Linked DNA regions of Kluyveromyces lactis. The protein of the gene in region 5 interacts with the protein of the main gene of each other region in a pairwise test. Links are inferred from orthologs where the notes say so. Each region holds a gene or a part of one and is shown on either strand. Other genes may lie near its edges. The genes, in order: GIP4, BNR1, PEA2, CUP2 and FUS1.

The links.
Region 1: the proteins of FUS1 (region 5) and GIP4 interact in a two-hybrid assay, tested with the Saccharomyces cerevisiae proteins (2 studies listed by BioGRID). The link is inferred for Kluyveromyces lactis from reciprocal best matches to the Saccharomyces cerevisiae genes FUS1 and GIP4.
Region 2: the proteins of FUS1 (region 5) and BNR1 interact in binary tests that used the Saccharomyces cerevisiae proteins (3 or more experiments, as listed by UniProt). The link is inferred for Kluyveromyces lactis from reciprocal best matches to the Saccharomyces cerevisiae genes FUS1 and BNR1.
Region 3: the proteins of FUS1 (region 5) and PEA2 interact in binary tests that used the Saccharomyces cerevisiae proteins (3 or more experiments, as listed by UniProt). The link is inferred for Kluyveromyces lactis from reciprocal best matches to the Saccharomyces cerevisiae genes FUS1 and PEA2.
Region 4: the proteins of FUS1 (region 5) and CUP2 interact in binary tests that used the Saccharomyces cerevisiae proteins (3 or more experiments, as listed by UniProt). The link is inferred for Kluyveromyces lactis from reciprocal best matches to the Saccharomyces cerevisiae genes FUS1 and HAA1.

What each region holds. Positions count from the first base shown.
Region 1 is NC_006042.1:225,725-230,423, reverse strand, and holds GIP4 (protein phosphatase regulator GIP4), read left to right. Parts: upstream 1-1,925; coding exon 1,926-4,199; downstream 4,200-4,699. Other genes in the region: MRS2 (Mrs2p), read left to right, coding at 237-1,565; mRNA splicing protein PRP45, read left to right, coding at 4,383-4,699. UniProt on the Saccharomyces cerevisiae protein: GLC7 phosphatase-regulatory protein involved in GLC7 subcellular redistribution and chromosome segregation.
Region 2 is NC_006042.1:1,000,923-1,008,108, forward strand, and holds BNR1 (formin BNR1), read left to right. Parts: upstream 1-2,904; coding exon 2,905-6,756; downstream 6,757-7,186. Other genes in the region: SMU2 (Smu2p), read left to right, coding at 1-603; POT1 (acetyl-CoA C-acyltransferase), read right to left, coding at 704-1,918. UniProt on the Saccharomyces cerevisiae protein: May organize microtubules by mediating spindle positioning and movement in the budding process. Potential target of the RHO family members.
Region 3 is NC_006041.1:888,929-893,401, forward strand, and holds PEA2 (Pea2p), read left to right. Parts: upstream 1-2,956; coding exon 2,957-3,973; downstream 3,974-4,473. Other genes in the region: AIM25 (Aim25p), read right to left, coding at 1-698; phosphoprotein phosphatase PP4 catalytic subunit PPH3, read right to left, coding at 1,229-2,155; SPT15 (TATA-binding protein), read right to left, coding at 4,343-4,473. UniProt on the Saccharomyces cerevisiae protein: Localized to sites of polarized growth and is required for efficient mating and bipolar budding.
Region 4 is NC_006037.1:266,547-272,924, forward strand, and holds CUP2 (Cup2p), read left to right. Parts: upstream 1-3,006; coding exon 3,007-4,710; downstream 4,711-6,378. Other genes in the region: high-affinity iron permease FTR1, read left to right, coding at 371-1,531; DNA-dependent ATPase RAD54, read right to left, coding at 4,970-6,378. UniProt on the Saccharomyces cerevisiae protein: Regulates the transcription of a set of genes, many of which encode membrane proteins. Among the genes regulated are YGR138C and YRO2. Does not seem to be dependent on copper.
Region 5 is NC_006039.1:116,014-122,247, reverse strand, and holds FUS1 (Fus1p), read right to left. Parts: upstream 3,299-6,234; coding exon 1,766-3,298; downstream 1-1,765. Other genes in the region: KLLA0_C01584g (uncharacterized protein), read right to left, coding at 1-145; KLLA0_C01562g (nitroreductase family protein), read left to right, coding at 967-1,557; KLLA0_C01518g (uncharacterized protein), read right to left, coding at 5,117-5,563. UniProt on the Saccharomyces cerevisiae protein: Required for cell fusion. Negatively regulates Sho1p signaling to ensure efficient cell fusion. Interacts with SHO1.

The DNA.
Region 1 (4,699 bases), on a different chromosome or scaffold from region 5:
TATATTGGATATATGGCTGTCTTTCCGTGTTGCAGTTCACTTGTGGCCCTTTGATTTCTATTTGCAATGTACGTTCGCTAATTTCTATATATTGACAAAATTGTGCAAACACTTTCATTGCACACAAGTATCTGTTGAAACAAAAAAGTTCAGCATAGATCTAAGAATACCGCTTGAAAACTGAGGTTCAACTGGGAGCTTTAGCATAGAATATCAAGCTGACATAACTATCTCTTATGTATTTCCGTTTTGGAAAAGGGCTTCAAATCCAACTTCGACACTCTTCTAAAGCCGTCCGATCACAACTTCGATGGAACTCGACGACAAAACTCATCAAACCAATCGCTTCAACACAGCATCCTTTCTTGGTGAAACCTGTGACGCCTCATGAATCTTACGTATCATGTACCATTTTCAACGAGAAAGGTGACGTGACTGCTGTATCTCATAAATTCCCGAAATGGGAGTTCTTACAGAAATATGGGTTATATCCAAGAGATTTGAGGAAGATTGACTCGAGTACAATAGATGTAATACCTTCGTTTGTCATCAAACCTAAGTGCATTTTGGTGAATGTGTTACATATAAAAGCAATGATACAGAAAGATAAAGTTTTCGTGTTTGATACTACAAATCCTGACGCCGCCATAAAACTTGGTGTGTTAATGTATGACTTGGAATCAAAACTATCTCAAAGGAATATCAATTACCAAGGGAAATCTGTCTCATACCAGGAAAATTATGAACATAGAGCCCTCGAATCAATACTCATAAACGTGATGACCTGTTTGGAAACGGAATACAAGTATCATCATTCTGTTTGTGGGATGATATTGAACGATTTGGAGAATCAGATTGACCGAGACAAGCTTAGAGATCTTTTGATCAAATCCAAAACTTTGACTGCTTTTGCCCAGAAGAGTGTCTTACTACGTGACCTTTTAGACGAACTTCTAGAGTCAGATGAGGATTTGGCCGGAATGTACCTCAGCGAGAAGAAGCATCCAGATGCTGACGACCATTCGGACCTTGAAATGCTCTTAGAGACATATTACAAACAGTGTGACGAATATGTGCAACAATCCGAATCTCTCATTCAAGATATCAAATCTACCGAGGAAATTGTCAATATTATTCTAGATGCCAACCGGAACTCATTGTTGCTATTCGAATTGAAAGTTACTGTTTATACGTTAGGTTTTACGGTGGCCACACTTGTTCCGGCATTTTATGGGATGAATTTGAAAAACTTCATCGAAGATTCAAACTGGGGATTTGCCAGTGTAGTTGGACTGTCAGTAGCAGCTGCAGCAGTTGTAACTATCACAAATATGAGAGCTCTAAGGTCAGTCACAAAATTGACACTATTGAATAATCATACCGGTGCTAACAATAAAAAGCATTTGGCAAATGCTAAGTTAGCTCTAGACAAAGAAATACCTACATTCTGGGATAGGTGGTTAACGAGTGCAAGGGTGTTATGGTCTGGACGTGAAGTATTGTACAAAGATGGATCAAAGAGAGACATGATCTGGAAATGGTTAGTAGATGACGACAAGAAGTGAAAAATCCGTATAGCCACATCCTGTAAATAGATAATTTCCTGATCGCAAGCAAGTTATCTCTATTTTTTAAACATTTTTATAGATTAAAGCAATAACTTTACTTGTGATACAAATATCATGAGTTTTATGATTACCTATTTGCGAATTCTTGATACATCTCTGTCCATCTGGTTGGTATCTTCTGCAACGTCAAAAAAAAAAATAAAAAGGTTTCTTAAAATTCGCCCAACTGAAAAGAGACATCGTACTCGGCAAGACTTGGCTGCAATTGAAGCAAATATACACCATTCGCTGACTTATCAGAAGGTATATCTACTTTGGGACCATCGAGAACTGCAATAATTACGTTTTTTTCCAATTATGCTGGCGAAGGCGGCAGCTAGTGCTTCCTCATCTATGGAAAAGGGTAGTGTGTATTTGGATTTTACAGATATAAAATGCATACAATATACATCATCGATACGGAAACTCGAGCAACTGGTTCACGTCTGTAAAGTGTTGCTTAGGAATTTGTCAATGAAGAGTAATGAGAATCTTATCCCCTTGTCAAACATCGTGATAGCTCTTGGTTCAGGGTTTCAATTTAATGTATCTGCGGCCATAGAAAAAAGGATCGAACTACTCTCACAATTTAGATCATGTAAAGCCAATGCTACAAATCTGCCATTGAGCACCACTTCTCTCAAACTAGAGGTTGACCTTGTACCGGTGGAAGAAGACTCTGTCTTGTTCGTCAGTAAATTCTACAACAAAGAATTACAATCGCAATTACTTACCACGTTACAACGAGTAGCAGAAGATTCACTTCAGATATACCAAGCAAGAATTAGGCAACTGACCATGGAAAGGAACTCAAACAGACCTACAGACCTATCTGGAAGGACAACTATCTTCAACGAAGATGCGCTAAACGATCTTCTTTCACCAAACGAGTTAGCATTCGGACTTGACTTACTTGTTAATATTAGGAATAGATCAACCGATACAAGCAGCTCTGCCTTCTTTGCTTTGGCTTTACCAATCTTAGAGAAATTCAGGTCTAACCTCAATGATAAGTGCATACCCCCTATACGATCATATTACACTAGTATAATGAAATTCAGCCGAACAAAGGGCGTTTTCTCGAATAATGTTCTCATCCAATTGCCATACTGGCAGTTTACTTTGCATAGGATGTATGCTGCATCTCTTAGAGCAAAATGTCTCATCGATGTGATACGGGCTGTATTGAGACAAATTTACATTCCAAATAAACATCACTTCCATGATAACACTACCAAATTGCATTCAAAGAATCTACACGAATATTCTGAGCTATTGGAAGAGTTAGAAACGTTTTGCTTCACACAGGAACTTGAAAAAGATCTTATAGAGGCCTTTAAGTCATATGGAAACCAGAATACTGTTTATCAAGTTCAGTTTAACAACATCTCATCAGCATATCAAAGATTGTTGTTAAAATCTACGCAGATGTTACGGAAAGCTGCTAAACTCGTTGATTCGTTTAGCACCCAATGGAAAAGTATATCAGATAACATGAAAGCCAGCAAATATGACGATATGAACATCGATGAGATGGCAAAGATGGCGGAGGAAAAGTTAGCTGTAGATGAACTAGCATACAACGAAAAAATAAAGGAACAAGAAAGACAAAGGGAGGAAAAAAAGAATTCCAGTCTTTCACAAAAAAACACATCATCTTCATCTTCCATAACTTCAAATTCTTCCTCATTAAACGTTTCTCCAAATATTTTATCGCCTTTAAGACTGAGCCGGACATCTTCAGTTTCGCGGTCAGAAGAATCAAGGTCCCCATCATCACCAATACCTTTCACTGATGCGAAGTCTAATATATCGGCTAAAAAGACCAGATCAGTCAGAACAAGAAACAGATCGTCATCATTGCAATCAGTATCAAGTCTTGAAGATACTTCCACTGCTCGGAATGGTATGAGATCCAATTCTCTTCAATCAGGTTCTCTGAATACACAAAGAATTGTACAGAATGCATATTCAAAAGCATTACTCTCGTTAAATGAGAAAAGAGGCCCAAGACTAACACCAACAAAGCTGAATAATTCTATAAGATCAAAATCACCTTCTCCAACTGTGTCACGGCAGAATTCCGTAAAACAGAGGAACAAAGTGAACATATTGAAGCTAAATGAAGTAGACGAAGATGACATCAATGAGAAATTCCACGATCTGAAGCTGGACGATGATACTCTAATCGTCTCTCAGGAAGTGTTATCTCCAGAAGGTAGTGAAACTCCTAAGATCATAGTTTCTGTTGCCGATGACAATCAGTCGTCTTCAAACAACGACAGCGAAGTTGAAGGTATTGTGAAAAAGGTGAGATTTATAGGGGTTCCGCCTATGTCACAAGATGAAAACCCTGAGCCTAAAAGACGCGGATGGTACAAGAAGCCTGCCGTGTTGCATTATCCACCTCCACCTGCACAGCACTCACTTCAAAAATTCAGAACAACTCAAGAGGGTCTTGCATTTCGCACAAGTTTGATCTCCAGAGACCAAGGTTCTGATAAAAAGTTCGGTTTTGACAGCATGTACTCATCAGGTCAAGGGGCGGATACTAAAATAGTGGGTAAAATCAAGGATAAACTGTTTAAATAGAAAGAATCTTTTAATTTCTATTTGCAGTGAACTTATTTCCATTATAATATCAACTTTTAACAATGTATTTGAAATTTAGAGAAAATATTTAACTATTGAACATTCCCATAATTTATAAAGTAAAGTAGGTAAGGCTTGAAACATAGGAACAAACCTGTTATAACACCACTAGAACGGTCTGACATGTCATTCAGGACACTCAGCTCATTGCTACCGAGTCCGCAAAACTCAGAAGTCTCCGAGTCTTCAGCATTTTCTAGACAATCTAAGGAAAACATAAAGGATACAATAATATTAGACAAGCTACGACCGGAGAATCTACCAGTGGCCTCAATATCTGACTTTGTACCTCTTAGACAACGTGATATATCACTAGAGGCACCGTTCCCATCGACATCACAGATTAATCAAACATATGTAAAGACTAAGGCGTTTCTAGACTCGCTGCTAACGAAAAAGAGCTCTCTACAATTATCGTCTATTGCGAACAAGGACATCGT
Region 2 (7,186 bases), on a different chromosome or scaffold from region 5:
GTTGAGAATGGCGTAATTAAACATACGAAAGAGAGTGAAGCTGACAAGAGAAAAAATGCTGGACATAGTTATAGGAGGAAGAGAGGGAGACGGTCAAAGGCAGAAAAATCAGTACCTGCAGAGAAGGCAACCAGTCTTGAAATTACCGCCAAATCATCCCATAATGAAAATGCAGAGAAAAAATTCAAATTGAGAAATGCCTTGAAGTTGCAAAGAAAAGCCGAAATTGACCAATTGTGCCATTTGGCTGGGTCAGATATTGTAATGTTAAGGAAAGGACAATATGTCACGACCTACTCGCTAACGTTTATTACCACTGATCAAGATCAGAATCAAAAGAAAGTGAAATGTGTTTTCAACATTCCGGTCGATTATCCTCAATCCGCCATAAAGCTAAGTAAACCGAAAGACTGTTCTTCAGATGACCCGTTATCACGAATTGTAAACAATTTCAATTATAAATCAAAAGCTTTACTCAAAGATAAACAGCCGCTAGTTATACAATTAAACTATTTGGTTACCAACTGGAATTCTTTGCAGTCTCCGGAGTATATAAATAGGGACACGGTACAGAAGAATCTGATGTCAAAACTCTCTGATTGAAAAAAAAACACAGTAGCGAATAATATGAGTTACTCATCATATTCATCGAAATGGTCATTACAGAAGAGGGAAACTACATTATACACACGTTAATATTCACTCACTCCTTGACGAAGACTGCAGCAGCTCCCATACCAGTACCGATACACATGCTAACAACACCAATTTGACCAGCGTCTAATTCCCTTAATATGGTAGCGACTTGTCTGGCACCAGTGCAGCCCAAAGGATGACCTAAGGCAATCGCGCCTCCCCTTGGGTTCAATTTCTTCTTGTCGATTTTTAGATGGTTGACACAGAAAATGGCCTGCCCTGCAAAGGCCTCATTAATCTCGTAAACATCAACATCGTTGACATTTAAACCACAGTCTTTGAGGACTCTTGGAATCGCATATGCTGGGCCAACACCCATGATCTCAGGTGGAACACCTACTGCCTGGAACGCAACGTACTTACCAACGATTTCCAAACCCAATTTCATGGCCATGGATCTTCTCATTAGCAACACACCAGCAACACCATCTGATATCTGAGAAGCGTTACCGGCAGTTGTCACACCTGTTTCCTTCACAAATGCAGGTTTAATCTTTTGTAACGATTCGAAAGTGACGCCCTTTCTAGGACCTTCGTCCTGCGCAATTATAGATCCGTCTGGTAGTTCAATAGGGATGATTTCATCTTTAAACAATCCCTGTGAGACAGCCCTTTCCGCTTTATAGAATGACTCCAGGGCAAATTTGTCCTGGTCTTCTCTTGAAATTTGGAACTTCTTAGCAACGTTTTCATTAGTAAATCCCATTGGTATCATACACTTAGCAGCAGCCGTGTTCGATTTCAACTCATTTGATATAGACCCAAGAGCCTTCGGACCATAGTTCTTAGACATAGATTCCACCCCGATAGCCAACCCTACATTGATCTGCCCAGAAATGATCTTATTTGCAACGTCGTTAACGGCAGTTAACCCTGAGGAACACTGTCTGTTAATAGCCACTAACGGAGTTTGATATGGCAAACCAGCAGCTAACATCGCAGCTCTATGTTCTGTCGCACCTGCACCGGGATTCAACACATTACCACACGCAATTTCTTCAATGACACTCTTATCAATGTCAACTTTCTCAAAAAATTCCTTCAGAAACTGTGTAAGTAAATAATCCGTGTTAACATCTTTGAATCCTCCTTTGAACCCTTTACCAATAGCTGAACGATACGCAGCTACAACAACCACATCGTCCGGATTCTTACTCTTTATATCCTTTTCAGAACTGCGTCCTGTCAAATGTTTCTCTAATTGTTGAAGTCTGCTAGCCATATTATATTTCTGATTGACTGTACTCGCCTGTAGTATACTTATATCTTGCCCTATGATGTTCACTTGTCAATCAATTCATCTGATAAAAGTCAGTGATAAAGGAATAATGTCAGCATGACACATTTATGTACGTAATTTATACAAAAAATTATTTGTCAAAGGGATCACTCGCTAAAATAAATATGGGGAATAACGAACAATGAGCAGAACCAACCAGCCGTCGTTTTGGAGTATGTTAAAGAGGATTTAATGATCGCATACATCCCTTCTTCACGGCCATTAAGCTCGCAGTTAATCATCAACACTGAAAAGCAGAAACTTTACGGAGCTCCACGATGTCATTAACAATGATCCTGACTTAATCTAACTACAGTCTCAAATTTGCCTTTGCTCAAGGCTATGTCGTAGAATTGGAGATCGGCATTGTCACACTAATTCCGGTTTTCGTTATGAAATACCCTAAAAATGAAAGACCAACGTCGCATGCGGGGTAACCCCCAAGTTGAAAAAACTTACCCCGGGTAGCAAAGAAGATCCAACTCACGTGACTAGTATCTATAGATTGTTTCACGTGTCGCGTACTGTTTCCTTCTGGTCTCTTCTTCCTTTCCAAAGTGCGTTTCTGAGCTTTTGATCCTGTTTTTGTTTACGTTTTTTAATTTTTGATCCATCTATTAAGGAACGTAACAAAATGAAGCACTAAAAGCGTATGAAATTTAGTACACATGTTTTGTAACACAAAGGAAATCCATAAATACGTACACTTGAAGAGAGTCTAAAACTGTTCTACAATCAGCTTTGCTAATCATTAGAATTAATCGTTTTCTTTGACAAATTGTTTTTTGTACAAGCGTTTATCTAGTGAAATTATTTCGCTATCTCCCAGATCATTATTGAATGATCGCGTTTTCCTTGTATTGATGAGTATCAAATCACTTTTCTGGCTATAATTCTGCAACTGAAAATCAACAAACTTTGACCGACCAATGACTGTTGATAAGAATGAAAAATCCATTAGTATTTTGTTTCCGCTTCGATCTGGATCCATTAATGCTCCGACTGCAAATGCCAAGACCAGGTTTTCTAGCAATGATTCCAACGATGATCTGGTAATACAAGGGCTGAATCTAGTAGGAACAGGGCTCAAACCTCGCTCCCAGACCCTGCGATACATGAAATCACACAACTTTTCAACTCCGAACGTTGATTCTACGCGACATGTTTCTAAAACGGATAAAATGTGTTTAGCAGACACTCAGCTACCGTCAGAACAAGAAATTGATGCCAAGTTTGAAGAGTTATTGAATGGACATGCGTTTCTAGGTACTGCTAAGCAAAATTTGAAAAGCTTGTCGTATACCCGTAAATGGGAATTGATTCAGAAGGAAAAGAAACTACATGGTGATATAACGATGCAAGACGATTCAAAATTGAATACTTTACATATGATTTTGAGCAATTTGAATAAGAGATTCTCGGTTACTCAAACACTTTATCAATTGGAACGTTTACTTCGACATGCTGATTTTATTTCGCTGTTTGTGAATGCAAACGGAGTTTCGATTTTGAATGGGTTCATTGATTTATTGGATAAAAAATCCCAGTACGTGTACTTATGCTGTTATAAAGCATTGCTTAACGATACTTCAGCAAGATCTGTGATATTCCAGAATAATGATTGGATAACTTACGTCTTCTGCCTTTTAGGAACGCTCACAACTGACCTTAGAGTTCGTCTTTTATCTACCCAAATTGTGATCCTTCTGACATATTCCACTGAATGGTCAGATTCTTTGTTGGAATCGTTAGATTTGTGCTACGAAAGTTGGATCCAGGCAGTAGAAATGACTCTTCGAAACCCGGAGGATTATGCGTTTAACAACTCTTTAATTCTTCCAAAACCAAAAGAATTGCTCGTAGATTACTCTATATCTACATTGTTACTGGTTCAATCCATTCAACAACTTCTGCCTTCCAATGATCTAAAACTGGCGTGTTTCAAAAGATGGAAGAGAGCTGGAATACACCGGGTTTTCCGGCTAATGAAGGATTTAGACTCATCAGCTTTGAATCAGGACATAGACCTGTATATCGAACTTGAATTGAAGGTGCAAGACAAACAGTTCAAAAATGAGTTTCTGAGTGAAATATCTTATGGTCCTCAAATCAAGAGTTTAATCGAATATACTAAAGATACGCCGTTAGAAACGCCTATTTGCAATATTATAGAAACGATCTTGGAGCTAGTAAATGAAAGAACAACGGAAGGTTCAATAAAACTGTTCTATGTTTTCAATTCTATTCTAACCTATCTATGCGAACATACCTTGGATGGTAGCTTTGATGAAACCAACACGGAACAAGTTTTCATGACCTCACTAGATCATATAATGGATAACTTACAATCCCATCAAATTGCCAAAAGAGCAATGATGGAACTGGATGAAAAGAAGAAAGAATTTGATGGAATACAACTTCAATTGGATACATTGCTACAAGACAAACAGGTTTCCAAAGGGGATCTACTGCAGAAATTAGAAAATAAAGAAGAACTTTTGAAATCAAGGGAAATAAGAATAGAAGAATTGCAAGACAGATTGGAAGTTGTAGAAAATCAGCTAAAGAAAGAAAAGAAACAGTTGGATCTCACTATCGCCCATAGAGATGTAGCAGAATATACACCAAAACGTTCTGTGTCACTGTTTGAGACTTTAAAAGAACATAAACCGCTTATTGGTACTCAACGATCAACTTCCTTATCAAAAAGTAAACGTATAGCATCGCTATCCACTGTTGCAAATGAAAAACCTCAGTCAAAATATCCGCACTCTACCCCTTATAACATCTTGAATAACAATTCTGACGATGACCTTCCAGTGACTCCGATATATCCACGCAAGAACGACATATTCCATCAGGTATCAGCACTCCCAAAACTATCTTCCAGTAATGATGTAGTATCAGCAACGACCACAGAAGTTCCATCAGCCCAAACAGCATTTGTGATTCCTGCTTCTATTGCAGCACCAGCGGCTCCGCCGCCTCCACCACCACCTTTACCGCCTCAACTGAAAAGTATAGAAGCCTTCACCTCACCAATGACCAATGGACCGGCCCTAGTAACTAGTTCTGCTTCCTGTGCTTCGTCAAATGTCGCGCCTCCACCTCCGCCTCCACCTCCGCCTCCACCATTACCATCAACTCTGTCATCCCTGAACAAGGAATCCACAGTAGAAGATACATCTTTATCAGTTGCATTCCCAAACGAAACCCTCCCAGGAAAACCAACAGACGGCATTCCTCCTCCTCCACCGCCTCCTCCTCCTCCTCCACCATTACCTCTAGCTAACAATGTGACATTCGTGTCTAAGCCTAAACCAGAGGTAAAACCGTTGAAGCAGATTCATTGGGACAAGATAGAGGATATTAGTGACACACTTTGGAATGAACCAACAACTAGGAGTGACTTAAAGGAGGACTTAAATGAAAAGGGTGTCTTTAATGAGATTGTGAACTTGTTTGAACAGAAGGCAGTTCGAATGAAGAAGAAATCCAACGTTACAGCTAGTAAGAAGAACGAAAAAGTTTCTCTTTTGTCAAGGGATCTGGCTCAACAATTTGGAATCAACCTACATATGTTTTCTTCATATTCTGTTGAAGACCTTTTGATAAAAGTACTAAGGTGTGACGATGATATAATCAAGAATCATAGCGTTCTTGAGTTCTTTAACAAGGATGACTTCGAAACTATCCCCCAAAGTATAATTAGATCTTTCGAACCCTATGCGTCAGATTGGAAAACCGGTAAGGCTCCGAAGGAAGACGTCAGTAAATTGGAAAGAGCTGATAGAATATACCTCGAAATGTTTTACAACATGAGATATTACTGGAAAATCAGAAGCTCCTCTCTCTTGATCGCTCTGACATATGAAAAGGACTATTATGACATCTTGTACCAATTACAGAAGATCGATGATGGGACCTCAATGATCAAAAACTCGAATAGACTCAAACAATTTTTCTACATTGTCGTAGAGATCGGAAACTTTATGAACAACAAGAAAACGCAGGGTATCAAACTTTCCTCATTGAACAAACTCTCCATGGTAAAGACAAACAGTGATAAGAATTTATCCTTTTTGCATGTGATAGAAAGAATCATCAGAGAAAAATATCCCGACATATACGATTTTACAAGAGATTTGAATAGGTTATCTGACCTGGGGAAGATTAACATTGAATCGATAGAAAGTGAGATACACGAATATTACGAAAAAATAATGAGAATGAAGGAGTCATTCGAACGTGGAAAACTCTCGCATACTGAGAAACACCATCCAGATGACAAATTTAGAAAGAAAATCAGCGCCAAGCTTCCCAGTGCCGTCAGAAAAGCAGAACTGTTACATAATCAATGTAAACTGACTATGAATGATTTCAACAGCACTATGAAGTACTGCGGTGAGGATCCAACAAATTCCGAAGCCAAAAACACGTTCTTCAGAAACTTCTCTGAATTCCTAACGCTTTTCAATAAAATATCACAAGAGAACAAGGAACGAGAAGCAATGAATCGCGTACATGAACAAAGACAACAGTTATTACAGAAGGCTTCGACAGAAACCCAAGTTGAAAAATCTGCCGATGACGAAGCTGCAGATACGATAGATATACTGATCAAAAAACTGCGTAGCGTTGACCCTCAACAGACAATCCCTGGTTCATCCGTTCCCGGAACATCATCTCATCCAGAAAAACGTTCTACGCCAAGAACCAACAGAGATCAAAATCTATTATCACGAGCCATGACACTTAAGAGCGGCATTCAAAACCTGTGAACAACCTCTCTCCTCTAGCCCTCAGTCACATACAAACTTTTCCCGATCCAGGAAACCCAAGTACAATACATATGAACAGTTTAAACGTATATATATATATATATATATATAGACCAACGCCGGAACAATATTACTCGAAAAGTTTCACATAACTTTTCCCCACGAAACGGAAAAATAAAGCCCTTTAACGTCGGAAGCCCAAAATTTCGTGAATTGTCCAACCTTTCAGCATAGCCAAACTGACAGTACTCCGATATTCATGCAAATCTCATCTACAAACCGGTCTCTGCTTCTCTCTTCGTAACCATACACAGTCTAGATCTAAAAACCTAGATCTAAAAACCTAGATATATTACATCAGCATTTGATACCTAAACCCACAAAAATAACAATCCTGCCGCAACTATATCGCCAAGCCACAAGCCGAGAA
Region 3 (4,473 bases), on a different chromosome or scaffold from region 5:
AATAGTTCTCTTCCTATCCCCACCCAATTTCTATCACAACCAGCAATAATCTTGTTGTTCTCGTCCATAACTGGGAATTCGAAACTTAGAAATGGTGCATCGATATTACCAAACTGAGTAAACTCAGAAGGGTTTTCGCATTCTCTTTGAAACAATTCATATCTACGACGCCACAGATGCCAATTTTGCACTGATTCACCAACAAGGGTTCTGTTTTCATCGGGTAATATAGCCTTAATATGTGAATTGATAAAGGAAAAGGGTCTTTCAATAGTCATTAAAACGTTGCCGTAATTGTCAAAGACATCAACGGTGAACGGACGATGTAGTCTGTATATTTGTCTTGTTATAGCTTTAAAGAATCCGAAATCTCTTTCTTGCATGTACCCAATTCTGTTCCCCATGACATCCATGATGGCATACTTATTAGCCTGTTCAAAACCAAGCACAACGTTCATCATTTCGATTTGTCTCTCAATAATGATGGTAGGTTCATTTAAAATGGTAGTTGCAATGGGATCATACTGCTGGATGGTCACATTGTTCATATTTGGCACGCCATTGAAGCCCAAACGAGAAACATCCTTTACCGGAGTTGCCACTCTAGGAAGCCTTCTGAAAGCAGAATACTGACGTACTAGAGCAGCAGGCTGCGAACTGAAAATTCGTCTGGTAAGTGCTAGATTATATCTCCACATGGTGTATGAATATTGCCCGGTCAGCTGTTCCCTTGCATCTAAACGTCTATTTGACTTTTTGTAAGACTCCGTTTAAGGTTGAGATACTTAATTGAAGATCAAATATCAAAATATTACCGTTAAATCCAAAATTGAAGGGAAGGTAAAAGTATCGTCATAAATGTTCTGCTCGAATGGAATACAACCAGAAATTCCATATTACAGTATAATATGTATGCTATCAAATGAATCATATAATTCAATCGTACAATTATTGAAATAGTTTACTGTTACATACCTATTGGGATACTTTTATTGAAATGTGGTATATCACTGTGTTGAATGAGATTAAGAAGAGAGGTAATATTAATACAAAGCAACAACTGTAGGTTGAGCTATGCTGGGAGGATGGTCGGTTGATAATGAGGATCAGGGTGATATACCATGCTGTTAAATAATGCTGAAAGAAAAGAAGACTGAACCAATAACACGGGAATCGGTCAGCAAATCGAGAAGAGAGAGAGAAAAATGCAAATAATAATGGTAATAAGTTACAAGAAGTAGTCCATTTGAGGTTTTTTCGTAGGGAGAATGACATTACCTCCACTATCCCTCGCCTGAACAGCTTCAAAAATGGTGTAATCCTTCGTCATATCGTCATCGATGCGCAGCACAGCAGCCACATTCCCACAACGATAACAGTAGTTTGGTGCTGACCATACCGTGACTAATCCCCCATCGAACATCTCTTTATAACCTTCCATGACCAATTGATGAGCTCTAGCGATTAATTCGACACTATTTGTGTGTAAAAATTTATCTACTTCGTTTTGGCCAAATAGGAAACCTGCACCACGCGGGGAAAGAGACCAAGTATCCACATCCTCTGGATCCGACCACAATAAATCACACATAGCACCTTCATGCGGTACCTCCTTTTTCCTATCGATGGTTCGTATTTCGTTGATTGATAAAACGTCCGGCGATAATCCACCATGAACACAGAAAACCTTGTTGTTTACAATGGCACCCAAGGGCAAATAGTCGAATACTTCGCAACAGTATCTCCATACGTTACTGTTACCATATTTCCTTACCACTTCGTCGTAAAACCCATAAACCTTCGTAATCTGTCTTGTTTCATGATTTCCTCGTATCAACACAATTCTATCTGGATACCTTAATTTATAACATACCAAAAGAAGGAAACTCTCTAACGAATAGAACCCTCTATCCACGAAATCTCCCAAAAAGATGTATCTATTCTTTTCAATGCCTCCACTCTTAGCAAAGAGAGTCAACAAATCATGCAATTGGCCATGAATATCTCCACAAATTGTGACTGGCGTATCCACATGTGTCACGTTAGACTCATTCATAAGAAGTTCTTGAGCCATGACACACAGCGAGTATATCGAATCCTCGTCAACATGTTTCCCCTGCCTTAGAGTCTCTATAATCTCATCGAGTTTCATCATTGACAGATGCTCAGACGACGTTAAAGTTAAAACCAACTGGAAGTATAAAAGATAAAAAAAAGTGATTCCCTGTTCAAGAACTGACGATATTATTCTATAGTGATGAGTTTGGATCAAATCCAACAAAAACCTACCTTAAACTAATCTAACAAAGGTAAACTGAATAGTCATCATTAACAATATAGGCTTAAAAGCTTCTTTACTTTCTTATTTTCCAAAATTCGATGAGATAGACAAAATGCAAGTATCAAGAGAAATAAAAGTATCAAGTATCAAAAGAGGTAACAACAATTACATTTTTCGGTTAGCCTGAAAAGTCAACTTGTCGGTCTGCGCTTTCCGGTATGTCTACAGTATATAGCGTAGTGTGGAATGCTTGCCTGTGTTGTATATGGGAATTGTTCAGAATCTTGCTTCTTCTTCTTCTTCTCCTTCCATTGTTTCTTTTTTTTTGCCTGTACTCTTTTTTCACGTTTCTTTTTATCAGTTTGCTTCCTTTTTTGTGTTTCGGCCACAAAAACGATAATTTAACGTGACATGCGGGTAATGAGGTGTGCTTATGTAAGCCTTCGGAAGATGACACCCAGACATCGGAATGGCGGTATTCGTGCGTGGTGATGTCAAATATCACGTGGTTGATAATGTGCTTGTATTACCCGGAAACTGCATGTATGTCCCGTGCGTGGTAATTGAGAAAGGCATTGATCGGAATCAACGCGTCTGGATAGATGAACGGAATGTTAAAATGTAAGTTGCTACCAAACCAAGCTAGATACTGATCGCAGCTAGCCCCTTGATAGAATGCTTCGTAATAACCTGGACCAATGGTACGAGTACAATACCTCTTTTGTAGAGAAATTGCATGGGAAGTACCCCAATGAACAGTTGAATGAATATTTGCAAACTACGAGTACGAATTCCCTGATATCCAATAGACAAAATTCGGAGTGGGATGAGCTTCCAATGGATTTGGATTCCCAATTGAAATTGGAATTTGCATTGTACTTGATTAATGAATCTGCTAACGGTTCTCTAAGTACTAAGGGAACTACTTTCTTACAAAAGCTTGGCTCGGTAGACGTTGACACGTTGAAAGAATTAGTCCAATTGGTACTAGAGAATGATAAATCTTTAGCCAATAAAAGCACTGATGAGGATGAGGGGAAAGTGGAACAGATCACCTCCTACCTGATCTCTAGCTCCATTTCTAAAGGTATCAATTTGGCATCAATAGACAATTCTTCCAACGAGGAGGGTGTACATGATCCAATCTCATTTTGTAAGAAAAACATCGACATCCTGTTGGATGCATACCCACAGAATTCAAGCAGTTCTTTGCAACACGCGCCCCTTTCTACCTCAGAATTGGAACTTAACGATATCTCAAAACAACAGGACCTACAAACGGCTATCACGGATTTACAACTTGCATACAAGTTCTTGAAATCGAAATATGAAAATGATAGAGATGAATACCAGGCGACTATAGAAACTCTGAACAAGACTAACAAAGAGCTTTCTGAAGAGCTCTTACACTATCATAGTAAGTTGAAGGAGCGCGAGGAGAAATCGAAAGTCACTTCACAGATGCAATCAATTCCAATGGATATCGATAGATCCTTCTCACAAGCAATTTCCGAATCCAGTGACATCAAATCCTCAACATCTGCTTCTAACCATCAATCTTTCTCAATGATGAAGCAAGAATTTAAACGAATCTTAGCTGATACTCAGTTAAGATACGAAAAAGAACTAGAACAAGAACGCCTGTTGAGACAACAGTTGGAGAACAAGTTGGAAAATAAAGGATACCGCTAATCGTTTTATGTTGCCCTTAACGATCCAAAAATACTAGCATTAAACTTCAATATATTGTTGAAATGTAATTAACTTTGTAACATTATCTAAGACAGAATTCCTCATCCATTTCAAACTCAAGCTGGAAACCATTTACCGATGGCTATTAGTCGTTAAATTTGTGTATGAACTATATGATACATAGAGTAAGGTGCCAATAATAAAGACTTCTATTATAGCAGAATGGATATGAAAAGACAATAAGGAAGGAAAGATAGAAGGAACAAAGGGTTTTCTTGCAGAAGACGAGACAAAACCTCCGAGAATCGAATTAGTGCATTGTTTAATAAAATAAAAAAATGAATTTTTATAGTACCATCCAATAAAACATCATAGCTTCCTGAATTCACTCAACACAGGGTAGATAGCTTCAAACGCTTGATAGATTTCTTCTCTTTGTTTGGCACCAGTTAAGACAATCTTGCCGGAAACGAAAATTAGTAACACAATCTTAGGTTTCA
Region 4 (6,378 bases), on a different chromosome or scaffold from region 5:
ATGTGGAATTGGAATTGACAAAAAAAAAACACCGAAAAAGCCAAGACCTCAAGAGCAGGGGAAGGGTGCATGTACCAAGGTGTAATATTGGAAGATGATAAAGTTTTGGGTGCATAAATCATATTTTTCAGGGAAGGTTTCTGTCACCTTCATTCGATATTGAATGGTTCAGAATATATAAGTATGCGAAACTGGACCCCATGTTGATGTTTTTGTTTGTCTCCTCAGGTGTTAATATTCCATCGCATGCGATGTGGAAGGTTATGTTATGAACATATTTTTGATGCTTTTTGATATGTGTTGTAATTTGATTTTATCAGAATACAACTATAACATCCGTAAATTCTGAACAAACTACAACCAATCAGTCATGGCTGCTAACAAGGTTTTCAACGTTGCTGTGTTCTTCGTTGTGTTCAGAGAATGTTTAGAAGCAGCGGTGATTGTTTCCGTGTTGCTTTCTTTCTTGAAACAATCCATCGGTTCTAATGATATGGCCACTTATAAAAGGTTGAGAATGCATGTCTGGATCGGTGTTGTTGCTGGTTTCATCATTTGTATGGCCATTGGTGGTGGTTTCATTGGTGCTTACTACCGTTACGAAAATGATATTTTCGGTTCTGCTGAAGATTTATGGGAAGGTGTCTTCTGTATCATCGCTACCTTAATGATTTCTGTCATGGGTATTGCTATGTTAAGAGTCAACAAGATGCAAGCCAAATGGAGAGTTAAGATTGCCAAGGCCATGCTTGAAGTTCCAAAGGACAGACGTAAGAAATGGAGTCTTAAATACTGGGCTACCAGATATTCTATGTTTTTGTTGCCATTTATCACTGTTTTGAGAGAAGGTTTGGAAGCCGTCGTGTTCGTTGCTGGTGCCGGTATTACCACCAAGGATTCCAAGGCCACTGCGTACCCATTGCCTGTCGTCATTGGGTTAATTGCTGGTATCATCGTAGGTACTTTGTTGTACTACGGTACTTCTAAGTCATCTCTACAAATCTTCTTGGTCATTTCTACTTGTGTTCTTTACTTGATTGCTTCCGGGTTGTTCTCCAGAGGTGTGTGGTACTTCGATAACTATTACTTCAACAAGAAGACCGGTGGTGACGCATCCGAATCCGGTGATGGTAACGGGTCCTATAACATCTTAAGAACCGTGTACCACGTTAACTGTTGTAACCCGGAATTGGACAACGGTTGGGATATCTTCAACTCGTTGTTGGGCTGGCAAAACACTGGTTATTTGTCATCCATCCTTGCTTACAACTTGTACTGGTTGGTCTTAATGATTGTTATCGGACTAATGATGTACGAAGAAAGAAATGGCCATTTACCATTCTGTAAGAATCTAAAACTGAGACAATTGAAGCCAAGCTACTATTTAAAACGTAAGCAGAACGAAGAGTTGACCGCTGCTGAACAAGAGGAATTGTTCAAACAAGTCAACAATTTGGGCGTCGACGAAGAAGGTAACGTCGTCGTTAACAAAGGTGACACTACCAAAGTCAACGTCGAACTCGTGAAATAAGTGGGTCACTACTAATTTTCACTAGTTCTTTTATCAGAAGTATGTACACCTGTAAACAATCAAATATAATGTAAAGTATCTTTTGGTTTATCGATTAGCAAGTTAACTGCATAGTTGCCAGTTGGGTAAAACTCTATATTCATCTGGGAAATGGAAGCAACAAATATTTATCAGTTGGGAACCCTGATGACTACTGAACGAAAACCGGCTTAGACCACCTCCCCTCTCTCCTGAATCGTGTAACAATTCCTCTTACAATGGCGTGTGTACGTCTCCGCACCTTGCCCAACGCTGTTAGTACAGAGTATAATGATGTATGTGTCGTCCTACCCTTACCATCCGAATAAGACAGAAGAACGCAGCTTGACGAGGTGCCTCTCGAAGCATGTCGAAATGAAATTTCTTTTTCTAATTTCCGGTGCACATTGGCGGAGAAGACACTGCACAACACTTGAAATTCCTGTACGAATGGAAGAGTCTTGAAGGCTTTAAAATCATTACCCGCAAACAGCTGTTCACATACATATACGGACATATCAAACATTCTTATCAAACAGAATACATATATATATATATATATATATATATATATATAGATCTGCAATAATCGGAGCTGAAAGACTTATTTCCTACCCTGATTGAGCTCTACATCCCGCTATACCATTAAACATAGATAGCTTTCAGCGTTTCAAAACTGCTTTTTTCCACTTTCCTAATTAGACCTAAGATAATCAAGCTACTACATACCGAACTTCTTCTTTGTTGTCTTAATACCTTTTTTTCTTTTGGAAAAAATTATAGGAAAAAAAAAATTGAAAAGAGAAGTACTGTAAGTATTCCTCAATTGCCTTCGTTACTCATAAGGTTTAAGAATTAACGGCTGGTATACAGGAATAACTCGGTATCCATATTACTTGTGTTGTACCATTTGACGCTATTTTCTGAAAGAATCTGCTACGAATACTTCTCCTTCCCAACTTTACTCACTGTACTTGTATTTGATTTGATGTGTACTGAAATTTTACAGAGACATTACTTACTAGGTTTAAAAATTTCAACAGAACTTTTAAAGGTCAAATTTTGAGAGATAAAAAAAAGATACTATATATCAGTGTTTTTGACTAGTATTTGAGGAGATTGATAGAGAAACTGCTGTCTCTGGCTTATTCTGTTCACGTTCTCAGTATCCAACCCCCAATTATAAGGCTGAATATCTTCCTTTTTTTCTTTCTCTTCTCTTTCTGGTAGGATTTTTAGTCAGACAACGGCTTAATCAACTTTAAGGAAAGAAAAAGAAAACACACATATTGGAGTGACCTAATCTAATTCATTTGTCTTAATATTCACACTCCCTAATTGTCATTTTCATTGTCCCTTTGCTGGCTTCTTACTGCTGACTTTTGAAGCTTTTTTTGTGGTTATTATTCACTGAAGACAGCACAGACACATTCTGTATCGCATTCAAATAGCACACAATGGTTCTTATCAACGGTGTGAAATATGCCTGTGAAAGGTGTATTAGAGGACACAGAGTGACTACATGTAACCATACAGATCAGCCGTTGACTATGATTAAACCGAAAGGTAGGCCGTCAACGACTTGTGCTCATTGTAAAGAACTACGGAAGAACAGGAATGCGAATCCATCGGGCCAATGCACTTGTGGGCGACAAGAGAAGAAACGGATCGCACAGAAGGCAAGAGAAGAATCGGGATGTGTTTGTAAGAATGATCCGGATCACTGCCCGTGTCATAAGAAGCGTGCGCCAAGAAGGAAAAAACAATCACATCAAGGCAATTCCGCTGTAGGACTGGATATCAATGGTAAAATATCAAAACATACTAATAGCGGATATTCACACCAATCTCTACATTCTCTGGATTCGTCACATTCTGTCGATCAGGATTTATCGAACTTCCTGGCGTCTCCGATCTCTATGAATACAAGCTTTTCCACTGGCTGGGATAATGCGTCGCTGTCAAGTTCTAATCGGTCTCCACCTGGTAACGGACCGGATAGTAAAAATACAATCGGATTAGAACCTCTAAGTACCATGAAACCTATCACACCCAAGACGAGGACTAAAGTCGGTGAAGTTTTCATTCCGCTTACGGAATACGTCCCAACGAATATTGCTTCTTCAGAGGACCAAGCCGATCACATCAATCCACTTCTCATGGGAGAGCACGTATCTATCTACAATGACGTCTCTGCAGATGCCCCAAATGTGACGTATTTCGCGGATACTTCGAAATCTTTGAGTTATAATCAGTTGAAAGAGCAACGGAAGGCTCTTAGCGAACAACATTTGCGTAACAATGTAGATAACATTTCAAAGAGTGGATCAACCCAACGCGTTCCACTCTCAGTCGCTGGCCGTTCATCTTCTTTTGTGTCAAATATATCTTCTCATGACTCCGTGGCATCATCAAACAATGATTTCATTAGTTCATTAAACAGTTCGGATTCTCTGTCTTCTATGCTTCATAGTGGTAACGCTCATCACTACCAGGATATGCTTCATCATTCTAATAATGGACGCGGATATCTTAACCCTGTTCAAGTGGACCAATCTCAAAATGTATATGGCTTTGATACGGACAGCGTACGAAGCGTCGAAGTTCTATCTATAACTCCTAGCTTTATGGATATTCCGGAATCAAAGCCACCGAGTATCGGTTCAAACTCATCTACAAATCCATTTATAAGTTGGAAGAGCGTCAATTCTAGAAGGGAACGTTCCGTTAGTATACACAAAAATCATCGTTATGACAATGAGAATAAAAGGAAGAGACATCCGAAAAATGTACCCAACACTTCTACGCCACAAATCAAGTCTATGGTTTCACCAGCAGAAACTAACAGCACAGCACTTCCGGCATCTGGTAATCATTTCAACTCACCAGCGGATTCCACCAATACAGTTCTAAGTGCTAATACACAGTACGGAGATCCATCCGTATTCAGCATCGAGAAGGTCGGAGTAGCGCCATCCTTTGTAGAACCGTCATTCACCACTGACTTCAACCAGGCACTGAAACAATCAAATATGGTGAACCAAAACATCATCGATAACAACTCTCTGTTCAGTGGCACTAGTGAAGGTAATAACCCCTCTCCTAACGACCTGTTCCCCGTTGAATTCGCAGACATTGATGATTTGATGACACACTTATAATTCTTAAACTACCTTATTCTAGGGTAAGTACATATGTTCATGTAACTCTATTCAAACATACTCGTAATAAAATTAGCTTTAATATGGAAATCCATATTCAAACTGTATTTATATAAATTAGGATCGGCTCAAAGATCTCGAAAACTTGAGTTGCCTCTTCATATTAACCGAGTTATCTGTTCCGAACCGCCCAGAAACCGAATTTATTAATGCGTCTATATAGTAGTGAAATTAAAATGTACTTTAAAAAAATGAAAGATCAATGCGATATATATTGAAATGCAAAACTGATGTCTTTGTGATTGAATTCATTTTTCAAGAGATGGTCGTTTGTTTTTGCTAATGCATCGTGATTCAAATGATTCCACGAAGTCGCGTCACCGTATAGCATTACCGGAGCTTTCAAAATTTGCTTTCCATTCTTACAGCGTTTACAATTATATGTCTCATGGGTATCACATATGGTTTTTGTATCAAGTTTGAACAATTGCTTCAAATTATCCGAACTGAACAATCGTTCAACATCCTCCTTTTCATCCACAACACATGAACTCAAACTCATCTTCATCGATTGTCTTTGGAAAATCTTCTCTTCAATGGTACCAGTACTAATGAATCTGTAGATAAAACAATCTTTCTTTTGCCCATCTCTCCAAACTCTAGCCAAAGCTTGTTGATCTGCAGCCGGGTTCCAATCTGGATCTAATAAAATCAATCTGTTGGCACCAATCAAGTTTATACCGCAACCACCGGCCTTGGAACTTAACAAAAATATAAACTCTTGTCCCTCCGGATCATTGAACCGGTCCACTAACTTTTGTCTTTTATTGATGTTCATGGTACCATCCAATCTCAATACGCCATAGTGGTTACTAAAACACATTTTTTCAATCAAGTCTAGCGTCTGGGTATAGTTTGAAATCAACACAATCTTGTCGTTAGACTCCGTTTTAATTTTGTACAAAAATCTTGCCAAGACCGAAAACTTACTGGAAAAAGCTGTCTGAATAACGCTTCTATTTCTTGAAGTGCGGGAGTCAACAGAAGATTGATAATCGTCGGGTATTAACTCTTCTGAACCCGGAATGTCTTCAGATAGCTCTAATAAGTCTGGATGGTTACATAATTTTTTTAACAAACCGATTGCCTTCAACGGTTGGTTACTATCCCCTTTAACGATCTTCTTAACAGCTCTTGATTCAATGAAATGCTGATATAGAGATTGCTGAAATGGTGTTAAATTTATGAATATAACATGCTCGTATTTGCAAGGTAGATATTTTGCCAAAATATTGTTGGTACGCCTGATAATGAACTTCGAGACAATGTTTGAAAGTTGTCTCAACCTATCCTTACCCAAAGTGACCTCTTCATCTGTAGCCAATGAATCTCTACTCTGTAAAATCGGTAATTCGAAGTTTTTCCTAAAGTCATTTCTGGAACCCAACAATCCGGGATTTGAGAAATTTAATAATGCAAAATACTCCGATAAATCATTTTGAATCGGAGTTCCCGATAGAATAACTCTTCTCGGACACCTAATGGAATCCAATGCCGTGAATGTTAAGGAATCTGCATTCTTCAAACGATGCCCCTCATCTGCTAACATTAGTCCAACCTCACAGTTCTTTAACTGTTCGACATTACGCCTTAAAGTGTCATAAGAAA
Region 5 (6,234 bases):
AAAAGTACCATATAGGCAAGAAACATTGAATTGGTTCGTTTGTTTTGCCTATTAATACGTTCAACCACTCTATAACGTGAGGTGATGATTTGGCATCTTCAGGAAACGGCAGAATGGCTTGAAGATCTTGCAGTAGCTCGACCATTCTAGAGAGGAGTTGAAGGTTGCAAACACGACGTATGCACGTTCACTAGATAGTTCGAGATACAGGAGACATCTAGTTAGACCCTTTTCTACCATTGAATCATTGATGATACTAGGAGTCATTTTAGGTAAAATAGAAGAAACAATAATCTGATCATGTGACCCATTGATTGGCTTTGTCTTTGTTTCCACCCTCCATCTTGTTATGACATCCGGATGATGATAAGCACCGGTTCGATACACAAAAAGATTTCCTTACACTGTTAGAAAGGCTTCATCTATACCTGAATAATTTATTACTCATATTTGAATCTCGCTATTTACGTAAGTAGATACGATTAATAAAGTTGACATTTCTCTTTCTGGTTCAAGCTTCCTTGAAACTTCTCGGTATTAATTTAATAATGTAAGCGTTTCTGTTAATTTCACCACTTTTCTTCACTTTAGTAAGCGCTATTGTCAGTTTTTACTAAGATGAATAATGCCTAAAAAAAAAAAAATCAAAAAAAAAAAAACCGCTCGAAACGACAGACAACACGAACACTGTGTCTTAATGTTTCTGAGGAAAGTCAGGTCGGTGGTTAGAAGTACCCCAAGGTGCAAGACAATCTGGGATTACGGGGTTGGATAAGCCATTGTAATAGACTGATCTATAGTTACTCCTAGTGTAAATAATTGATGTGACACTGACATATATATATGAGGATGGAAACAATTATCAAGTCTGTCTTGTTTCACGCTAACTTTATTCAAGTGTAGTGTATGGTCTTTTAATATATTGATTCTACGGAGGTCAATCCAATCAACCTAAAACTGTATCTAATGTCTGCTGCTGCCACTAAACAATTCTTGAAAGCTATTGCTGCTCGTCGTACTATCTATGCGTTGAAGCCTGAATTGCCATCTGGTGTATCTATCAATGATGTTCAGGAAGTGGTCCAGGCCATTGTCAAGGACACCCCAACTTCTTTCAACTGCCAAGGTAACAGAGCAATTATTCTGACTGGTGAAACCCACAAGAGTGTATGGGATTCTGTTGTGAATGCCATTGAAGGTGATAACGGTAAGAAAAGACCTGCTTCTGCCAGAGATGAAGCCTTCGGTTCTATTATCTTTTTGACCGATGACAAGACTACTGAAAAGTTGCAAGCTGACTTCCCAGCATGGTCTGCTATCTTCCCATCTTTCGCCGAACATTCCAGTGGTGCTGCTCAAATCTCCACATGGACTGCCATCGAATTGTTGGGTCTGGGTGGTCACTTGCAACATTACAACGGTTACGTTAAGGCTGCTTTGCCAGAAGGTGCTATTCCACAAGAATGGACTGTTCAAGCTCAATTGGTCTTTGGACTACCAGCTGCTGAAGCCGGTGAAAAGACGTACATCGATAACCCTGTCAAAATCTTGAACTAGGTATCTGGCATGTCAATCTCTAACGAATAAGCTGATATAAATTAAAGGAAAAACGTCATATGTGTAGACACATACTATATAATGAAGGAAAATTAAAGATTAACTACAAGTTATTTGAAACTGCCGGAAAATTAGACCTAGAGATTGTTCCGCCAAGAGCCAATCAAACAAATACTATCGTTTACTATTACTTGTGATAGCGATACATTTACATACTCTCTTGAAGACATAACCCGGGCACAATACCACGGTTTTCATTCAAATAAGTGGGTCCATCTAGTGAACTATGGTTTTGGATATTACTTCTTTCCACTAAACACCATCCGTCTGTGTGTCTTGCAAGTACTCGTACAAGTTCACCTCCTCGTATATCTATTTCATCCATCAACACAGCCTGATAGTCCTTGACAACACGGTATAATTTTGCCTGCTCTTGAGCAGTTGATTTTCTCGCAGATCGTAAGTCATGATGGTCACTTCTTGCACTGACATTATCCGAAACATGTTGATCATCGTTGGCCGACGTGAAGTGGGGATTAGGCGGCTTGGGTAGTGGTTTTGTTTTCGATAGTTTATCCAATTTGAGCAGCGTTGGATATGTTGGTTTTAAGTTGGTATCTATTATTTGCGGTTTGATTACGCCTTGTTCCGTTCGTATCTTAGATTCATTGATTGGTATTTCACTTTCCTCTTTAAGTTCTAATGACGGCAGTGATTCAATAGCTTCATATGGAGATCGAGGAACACTAGGAAGCATCGGTGACATTTCAGTGTACGGCTCCTCCCCATTTATAGTGATCTTACTCTTATTTGCTCTTGCAAGTATATTAAGTTGTTTCAAATGAATAGTAGGGGTCTTTGCTGTTTGAATTTTGTCTTGGATTAGAGTAGATTTGGTTAAAAACCATCTTGAAAGTGGCGATTCATAGTTCCATTTCTTGAAGGGTGATGCTAATGGTCTGGGAAACTGTCCTAAATCCATTGTCGAATTTGAGTACGCATTCGTGTCGCTTTTTTGGTTAACATTTTTTCTGTATGGATTGTCCGTAAATGCCAATTTTTCCGGTGTTTGAATGAGTTCAGGATGAGAAATATAAGGTTTGCTAACTTTGTATGTGATCTTAGAGCTTACGCCGCTATCATACTTTTCATCCTGTTTCTTTTCGTTGAAAAGTTCTGCTTTTTTTAAATCATTAAGTTCTTGCATCCCATATAGCTTCCCTAACACCGAATCTGGCTCATGCTGTTGCATATTTTCATTATCAGGATCAACTTTTGAGTGGAATCTTCGATAGTACAAGAACCCGAACACAATTCCCAATCCAACGACAAACAAGGCAATTGGTAATCCTATGGCAAGACCTAAAATGGTACCACTAGTATTTTTTCCATCCGATGTACTGGCTAGACTGTTCAAGGAGATTCCTGATGTCATTCTCGCTGATTGACTACTCTGAACTCCCAATGAGCTACTGCTATGGGATGTAGAACTAGTAGAGGTGGATTCTTGAGAAGTTTCAATCGTAGTGGTGACTTGATTTGTAATAGTTGCAGTTTTAACATTTTTGTTCAGTTGAGTTGCAAACGCTGTCGAGACGGTAGTTAATGCATATGGTAAAGTATTTGATGCTCGATAGTATTGATCAACATAAATTGTATTAATGACAGTAGCTTCATTATGTAGAATAAGTTCGTTCATTTGCGTCTGGATCACCGTTCGTGTTTCTGTTTCTATTTCCATCTTAGTTATTCTTCTATTTTTTCCTCTGGTTTCATGGACGCCGAAAAGTTACGCGTCTGCAATGGTGCTTAAGCACCAAATCCAAGCGTGTAAAGTCAACCAACGAAGAGTCAGAAAATAGCAGAAAAAAAGTGGCTATTACATTCAGTATTTATGTCACTGAATTATCAAAGTTAATTCAATACGTTCATGTTTCATAATCCCAAGGGAGCCGGAACGTTAAAAGTGTATCAATTACCTGCGTTAAAACATACTGTAACCCTTGTTTATGATACCCAATACCTCAATATCGCAAGCAGCTGTGGTTTCATGTGCCCTTGGATTCTATTTTTTCTTTTTCAAGTGTTTCAGAGTACTAACTATTTGGTCCCTGAAATTGTCTTATATCTGAATCTGCAGGTTGTTGACTTTCTGTACTTTTGACGTGAGGCTGATCCAATACAAATCTGAAACACGTCTAACAAACATCGCCTTTCTGGGGGAAGTATGTGATATCCGGGTAACATCTTATATTTGTTCTGGCATGCACTCAGGATTAATTTTCACGTGCTCATTGCATAATAGTAGCAGAAGAAGCAGCTGGCTTCGAACAAAGTTTTATTCATCGAGTACATTTACGAAGGGAAGTGTTAGTGCAAGATATCCATTTCTTTGACATGTGTTTCTAGAAAAGAGTTTTTCGCTTAAAATAGGTTTTTGAATGTCAAACGTGTGATTATTTGTATTTGGCAAACATGATCTGCAGTTTGGCATAGGCTATGAAGGAACAGCAAGGCTGAGAAAGTTACTTTCGCATCTCATTGCTTTTCTTAAAATTCTTCGCGGATTTTGACAGCTTTAAAGATTTCATCGTTTGATCTATCGAACATTTCATGACATGACAGGAAAATGGTCGCTGAGGTAAATTCAACAACTGACCACTAGCTATATTTTCTCAATATTTGTAGTTCCTGCAGTTAAGTTCGATCGAAGTTGATACTAGTGACACTTCTTTCTTCAAAAAGGCTGAAATGTTTATAGTGCCAATTCAACTGAGGTAGATACTAGGTGAAATAGACATTCCTGTGCCAAGCCACAACATCTTCTATGCTGATCAACGACTCATATTTCAAAGTAGTAGATCGCTGATTTATCCGTATTCGTCACCGTAAAAGCGTGATAAACATTTTTCCGGCCAGACAAAAACTGCCTCTTAGTCTTAGCGCTAAAAAAAAAGCTGCTTTCTTAACACCCTTAACATGACCGCCTGACATAGAATTACCAACATTCCGTTGTCGCGTATAGGAAGCATATGCCGAAGCTTCTAAAACCACTCATTAGAAACGAAATATGAGAACACTCCGAGTATACGGGAAAACCAACAATGCATCAGCTGTTTTTTGACCCATTCGTAACCATTTTTGTTTCTCTAATTGCTTTCAATACAACCATTGATATGCCAAGAAGCCCTCAAAACTTAGATATTCTCTTATTCCCGACCGAATTGTTATTTTGAGACTACATGAATGAGGCTAATATCTTATGCTCATAGTAAACTTAACCAACTACCCTTAAGTTGGCCTTACCTTGTAGTTGAGAAGGAGCATCTGGAGAAATAACATGAAAAAAAAACCCTTCTTAACGGGAAAATCTGGTTGGAATCATGAGATCTATGTAGTATAGAATCAGCTGTTTTCGCCAGTCCCTGCCTAGCCCATGAGATATCGTAAGAAATTGATGCGTACCAAGATGGTAACGGGTCCGCACTGGAAAAGTCTCAGTGGAGTTAAAGCTGCTGAGTGATAACAGCACAACGCTCCCGGATCTAACCTGTAAATTCTATATCATGCCAAAGTTTTTTCGAAAAGATTGGGTGTACGGATTATCAGTTAAAGGGAAACGCACAAAATTATTTTCACGTTTTGAGGTACAATCTGAAAAGACCGTTATGCATGTCAGGGGTAAATTCAACGTACGGGAAATATGCAGTAAAGAAAAAGGCACCAGATGCACGAAGGTACCATTTTGCTTCGTGAAATAACGCAAACAGTCGTACGCTTCTGCAGAACTGTTCGTAAGGTATTTTGAGGCATATGGCTTGGGTTGATAACAGATATTGAATAATCGAATAGAAGCAGCTAAAGCTGACCAGTTCTCAGAAGGTTCAAAGTGGGAAGGGAGAAAATGAGAAACAAATGTACTAACGAATTCTCTTCGAACACATAAGATGTCGTAGGAGTATCCTAATATGGGAATTAGTCTGGGAGCAAAACAAAGGCTGGTCATACCTCTGCTATCAGCAATACTATTACAGCGTAAACGTTAGTGACTAAAATCACAGACTGGCTTAACTGCTAATGTCTGCTTCGTAACCTTATACTTTGTTTAGTTTTTTGCAACTCATCTCTATAACAGGTGCCTATGCTATATGCATGTAGTACCTTTCTTGATGAAGAAGCTGTGCGATATTAGATTTCCTTTTTTGCATTCATGCTGAAAATTACTAGCTAGGTACTTTACTTAGCCTCAGCATTGTCAAACTGTGAGAGCAATGCGGCAATTTACGTGCCTTTCTTGGAAACCAGTTATGATCGCCATAAACCCTCGGTCTATTCCCGTTTTACTTGCTTATTTGCCTGTGCCACCAAATCGTTTAACATAAAAGACCAAAACGGACTCTCTCCAAAGAAATCCACAAATCAAAATATTTTCGTTTCCCTTTCCAGGCACGACATACCTGTGTAATACCTTTGTTTTTTTTTAGCTTTTTTTTTTTTTGCCTAAAAACCTGGCATCACATATCTAATCTTAATTCTCACCTTATTTGAAGTTCAGCAATTTTCTAGTATTCCCGATAATTATGGTACCTTACTGACAAAACTCGTACCTACAAATGTCTTGCTATGCAATTATATCATTACATAATGGTGTCGTGACTCTGTGCACCAGTATCGTAC